2 linked regions of the Saccharomyces cerevisiae S288C genome follow. The gene in region 1 interacts genetically with each later gene. Each region holds a gene or a part of one and is shown on either strand. Other genes may lie near its edges.

Region 1 (2,705 bases):
AGAGGTAAAAAAAAGTAGGCCCCTCCTTGGGGAGGAGGACGATCAATGCATGTTCGGTTGGTTCGCAAATAATCCAGGGTGGAAATATTACTGGTCGGTAACTGATAATCCTGATCCAGGATATAAAGAGAATTACTCTGACATTGGAGATGAAAATGCTGTCCACGGTGAATTATATTTTAACACATATGGGGGGTTGATGGCTTCTGTAATGACAACAAAGATGGTGCTCAATGCGAAGAGACAGCTTGTGGTTATTGATACAATTGTGGTAAAGGCCATCTGCGATTATGTTATGAAATATTGGAAAAAAAAGGTTAACCTTACTACGATATCATTATATTTGATGTTAAAGTTATAAAGCCAGACATTTTCAATCTTTCTTTAAATCAATGAAAGAAGATGCGCAAATATTGAAAGCATTGACTACTAAGACTTAGGAAAAAGCTTCTGTTGACGATTTATAATGTTATATCAAATAATTAAATTTATTTCCTAGATTTTTGAATTGTGAGAGACATCCCTAGCATGATTTTTTTTCACATATACTTTCAATTTTAATAGAAATGGAGCCGTCAAATTTAACTTATTTTCTATTTTTATAATTGAAAATTTTATTTATTCATCTATTCTACATTTTATTTTGGTGTTGGGATTTTTTTCCGGCTTAAATATATGGTCAGATCTTTTATTTATATTACACTTATCTACAATTTGTATTTATATCATCAAAAAGAGCTTTTTATTTCTATATTTTATTTTTCGTTACTTACCAATGTCTATAGAATTTCGTTCGTAAAGGCGTTTGTCTCTAGTTTGCGATAGTGTAGATACCGTCCTTGGATAGAGCACTGGAGATGGCTGGCTTTAATCTGCTGGAGTACCATGGAACACCGGTGATCATTCTGGTCACTTGGTCTGGGGCAATACCAGTCAACATGGTGGTGAAGTCACCGTAGTTGAAAACGGCTTCAGCAACTTCAACTGGGTAGGTTTCCGTTGGGTGGGCGGCTTGGAACATGTAGTATTGAGCCAAGTGAGCTCTGATATCAGAGACGTAGACACCTAATTCAACCAAATTGACTCTTTCGTCAGACTGAGCTAGAGTGGTGGTTGCGGAAGCAGTAGCAGCGATGGCAGCGACACCAGCGGCGATTGAAGTTAATTTGACCATTGTATTTGTTTTGTTTTTTAGTGCTGGTATAAGCTTAACAGGAAAGAAAGAAATAAAGATATATTCTCAAAAGCATACAGTTGAAGCAGCTCTATTTATACCCGTTCCTCTATCAGTCATCACTACTTAAACGATTCGTTAACAGATGCTCATTTAGCACCTCACATATCCTCCATATCTCATCTTTCACACAATCTCATTATCACTATGGAGATGCTCTTGTTTCTGAACGAATCATACATCTTTCATAGACTTCGTATGTGGAGTATTGTATTATGGCACTCATGTGTATTCGTATGCGCAGAATGTGGGAATGCCAATTATAGGGTGCCGAGGTGCCTTATAAAACCCTTTTCTGTGCCTGTGACATTTCCTTTTTCGGTCAAAAAGAATATCCGAATTTTAGATTTGGACCCTCGTACAGAAGCTTATTGTTAAAGCCCATACTCAGTCTGTTCTAAACGGCTTCCATGCAAGAAATATTTCTATCTCTTGAATTCGTACAACATTAAACGTGTGTTGGGAGTCGTATACTGTTGGCGTCTGCAAATTTGTGAATTCTCCGCGAATGCCTTGGTGCAATTACGTAATTGTAGCCGCTGAAGGCGGATGGTTTTGAGAGAAGTTGATGTTCAAAGAATCGTGTATGATAAAAAAAAAAAATTGTAACCAATTCGTAAATACTGAAACTCTTTGCAGTAAGAAATCTTTCATTCCCAGAGAGAACGCGGAAATATTCAGCCTAAGTCTCTCCAAATTGATTTCTTTCATTTTGGTAGCGAAAGACTTAGTATCAACCTCAAAAAGCTGAAATTTTTGTAGATATATGTGCAGATGACATGAAGTATCCAGCTCTTTTGTGAATATGGAAGCAAGTTTCTTTCAAATTATTATCGACTTTTCCTCTGCCCCTTTTACCTTATAACTTTAGGAAACACTACCCTATTCATACTCAACTAAAAAAGTAGTACGTTTTCTTCTTTGAGAGGTATGGTGCAAACCAGTGCAATCTGATTCCAGATTGCCCTCACGTGAGGCTTCAGTAAATCTCGATCCCTCTACATATTATATTATCTCCTACTTGGCAAAATAGATGTGGCTTTAGTTGATGAAAATTTACCACGTCAACTATTTATGTCCTTTCTACAATAAACCCCGACCTACTATCCTCTATGTTGTTTTTAACATACCATACGAGCGTCATATGTCTTTTGGTTCACTGGGGAAGACCATCACTGTTGAACGTTTGTTGAAAAGTTCGAGATGATGAAGATTGCATAACAAAATGTAAAGTTATATTTAGAAACTATAACGGTTCAAGACATTCAACACTATAACATAGCTTGGCTGGCTTGAACAAAAAGAGGAAGAAGCAAAAGCAAGAGTAAAAAGCTTCTCATATATTTCTGGCATTGTTGATCACCCAGTGCAAGCCCAATTTCGCCTGTGCTTTTCTTAAATTGTTTCTGACAACACCGAGGTTTTCGCTGCAGAAAAGGACATATGGTGGTAATTTGTATAAGGGGTTAAG
Region 2 (3,249 bases), on another chromosome or scaffold:
GAACTCCTTTGCTTGGTAATTTGTTGATGTTGCTGCCTTATGGGGTTCACCAGTCTGCTGTGAGTCCTTCTTTGCAAGCTTACAAAAGAGACGCTGACGCCCCTAATTTTTGTCCTCTTTAATAAAATCATCCTTATTCACTATTTCCGTACGTATATATGTCTTTGTATATACGTGTATGCGTGTGTGTTTCGTTACTCTCTATAATTCAACTAAAATGTATACATGCAGACACACACTCAGAGGGAAAAAATAAATGTGCTATAAATAATGAAACACAAGAAACATCTAAAGTCCGAAAATTGCACCTGCTCTTATCATTCATTCTTATACAAAAGTGACTAGATATGATGGCGGATCCCGCAGCCCCAATCACTGGCAAAGAGCCTGAATACCGATAGGTACACTAAGCGTAAAGACCCTACCGTATTCTGGTTGCTATCACCACCCCACTTCCATCACGTCCATACCAGGTGCGTAAGCTTAATCACTCTTTGCTCCCCTGGTCTGCCCTTCCTATTCCGGATTTATCGGCTCGTTCCCCGCGCCCACTGGGGTAAACCGGCTTGATGGCCCGACCTCGGCGGCTAGCCACCGCACCCAGACCACGGTCTTCTCCAGAATGCCCACGACGTAGTAGCGTGGTTCCGTCACCACTATTGGGCTGACACAACACCTGTGCTCAATGCTCAGCAATATATCCTCTATACTACTACTGTCCGCGGGTGCTTTCAGAAGTGTTTGCCATCGGTCGATAAGCTCTTTGTCCTGACGCAGCGATTCGACTGCCCCCGTAAAGTCTCGTTCGTGATCCCGTAGGCAATCGCAGAAAATCTCTTTCCGCTGTTCCAAGTCGAACGTCTTATAATAAAACAGCAGTTGGGAAACGAATTTGTCTTGGTCGCGCTTCGACGGTATATACTCCTTGATTTTGTAGGCCTTGTATAACGCTTTTTGTTGTTTCCTTATATCTTGTGGGATGGTGTCGGGTGCGATTGTTCCCGCATTAGCAACAATTTGTGCCAGATAATGGTATTTTGTTGGTTCTAGTACTTCGCTATCGTCTTCGCTATTATCTTCGCTATCGCTTTCTTCAGCGGTGGCATTGCCACTGCGCTCGCCGCACCATTCTTCGAAAAGACTTTCACGAACTGTGTCATCTCTGATCTTGTAAAAATCAGGATCGTTTTCGATTTTCTTGCTTTGCAGCGACCACGTGGAAAACTTGTCTAGTTTATACCTATCGAATAATTCGAAGAAGATATTACGCTCGTCAATGTCATCTGTATCAATACGATTCAGATCATCGATAATGCTGATATCTTGATTTACAATTTGTTCTTCATTCTCTTCGTCTTCCTCTTCGTCTTCCTCTTCGTCTTCCTCCCCCGAAGATGAACCATACCCGCTGACTAGCCCAGTGTGGCTTTCCTGTAAAGGGGATTTTACGTCACCCGCCTCTTCGCTGATCTCATCTTTTCTCTCAACTTCGTCTTGATTTCTTTTAAATAGATGAATCTCTTCGTTGCAAGATTCGAGGATTTTATCAATGTCCTCCTCCCGCATAGTGTAACCTCTGGCAACGCCAATCAGAAGAACCAGTTTTTCCTTATCTAACGACTCGATTAATGAGCGACACCTGCTGTCGTCCTCTTGACTGATGTCATTTTTGAACTCCTTAGAGTCATCATTAAAGTAAAGTTTTGTACCATCGTTGTATATTATTAAGTGCCAACCATTAACCAGTTCTAATGAAAATGTTGGCTTCCTCTCTGTCTGTGATTCTTTCGCATTGCTTTCTAGGTTAGAGCCTTTCTTCAAATTAGGTTTTTCCCATCGAGACTGCTTCGTGTTCTTATTATAGTAATACTTTTTGCCTGCAGGTGTCTTAAATTCCTGCCATTCTCCACGCATGGCGATTCTGTGTTACTGAACTGTCTTTCTCTTTATAATACATATCAGAATCTCTTTCGGACACTATTTCCTCTTTCTTCAATTATATTGTTTTCTCTTTCATTGCCGAAGAAAAAAAGAAACATACTGAAAGTTGATAAATATGCAATAATAAAACCTTTTCCTACTCTTGACGCTTCTGTATAAGATAAAAACTGCCAACAAGATCAGTTCCAACTTCCTGCCGTATTATGAGGTATGTTATTCATTACCAAGACTATATCCGCCACGGCTGGATGCAGGCATCGCTCCCTGTGGCTTAAGAAAATAATAGGCACAAAACTAACAATAAAAACATCCACTACTCTGTCGCATGTTCCCTGTGCTCAGATCATTCGTAACAAATAACGATATACCTGTTGGATATGTAACGCCAAAATTCCCCTCATTATACTGGCCCATCAACAACTCGAAGTATAATACTGCATTCTTATACTATATATCTGACATTTGGAAATTTTCGCTGTACTGGACTTTGATCTTTAATGGTGCATTTTACGTTACTGCTGGTGTGTATGCTAGCTTGACCCATAGAAAGAAGGCTGGAAGTGTATGGATATTCGTCATGTACGTCTTATACGGAGGCGTTCAAGGCTTGACGACTGGTACAGTTATGGGGTTTTTAATAGGTGCGATCTATAGATCTGGTTTATTTTCTATGTCTACATGGGTCCCACTTTGTTGCGCAGTAGTCCAAATCCTTTTCGATGTGGTGCTAAGTTATTCCATGGTTGGTTCCGTTATGTGAAAGCTTCTGTCAAGAAAAAACAAGAAGGGGTTTACTGATTTGATGATAAAAGTTAGCAGCAACTTTTGAATGAGAATGTGCCATCCTTCACGTAAAGAGCCTAATACTCTTTCTTCAAAGCGCTAGATTGTTCTAAACGTTTCTTTAACTATTGTTTTCGTTCGTGCAGCGTGATTAACCGAGCCTCCTTCGAGGCGGGGATGGATATTGTAAGCTGCATATATAGTCGAACCTCAAATCGGTTGAGACAATAGGCAAAGTGCCCACATTGGCGCAAACACAAGAACATTAGGAAAGAAGGCAATCTGATATTTCAAAAATGTCTGCTTCATTGATTAATCGTTCCTTAACAAACATTAGGACAGAACTGGATTTTCTAAAAGGGTCAAATGTCATTTCAAATGACGTTTACGATCAAATAAATAAGAGCTTGCCGGCAAAATGGGATCCTGCCAATGCACCCCGCAACGCCAGTCCAGCTTCCTTGGAATATGTCGAAGCTCTTTATCAATTTGATCCTCAACAAGATGGTGATTTGGGCTTAAAAC

What was found.
Region 2: mutations in PAU11 (region 1) and MAY24 together harm fitness more than expected from each alone (negative genetic interaction), as found in Saccharomyces cerevisiae (2 studies listed by BioGRID).

What each region holds. Positions count from the first base shown.
Region 1 is NC_001139.9:5,479-8,183, forward strand, and holds PAU11 (seripauperin PAU11), read right to left. Parts: upstream 1,175-2,705; coding exon 812-1,174; downstream 1-811. Other genes in the region: YGL262W (uncharacterized protein), read left to right, coding at 1-361; YGL260W (uncharacterized protein), read left to right, coding at 1,382-1,612.
Region 2 is NC_001148.4:831,545-834,793, forward strand, and holds MAY24 (May24p), read left to right. Parts: upstream 1-2,144; coding exon 2,145-2,149; intron 2,150-2,283; coding exon 2,284-2,701; downstream 2,702-3,249. Other genes in the region: SUE1 (Sue1p), read right to left, coding at 1-131; URN1 (Urn1p), read right to left, coding at 517-1,914; PIN3 (Pin3p), read left to right, coding at 3,021-3,249.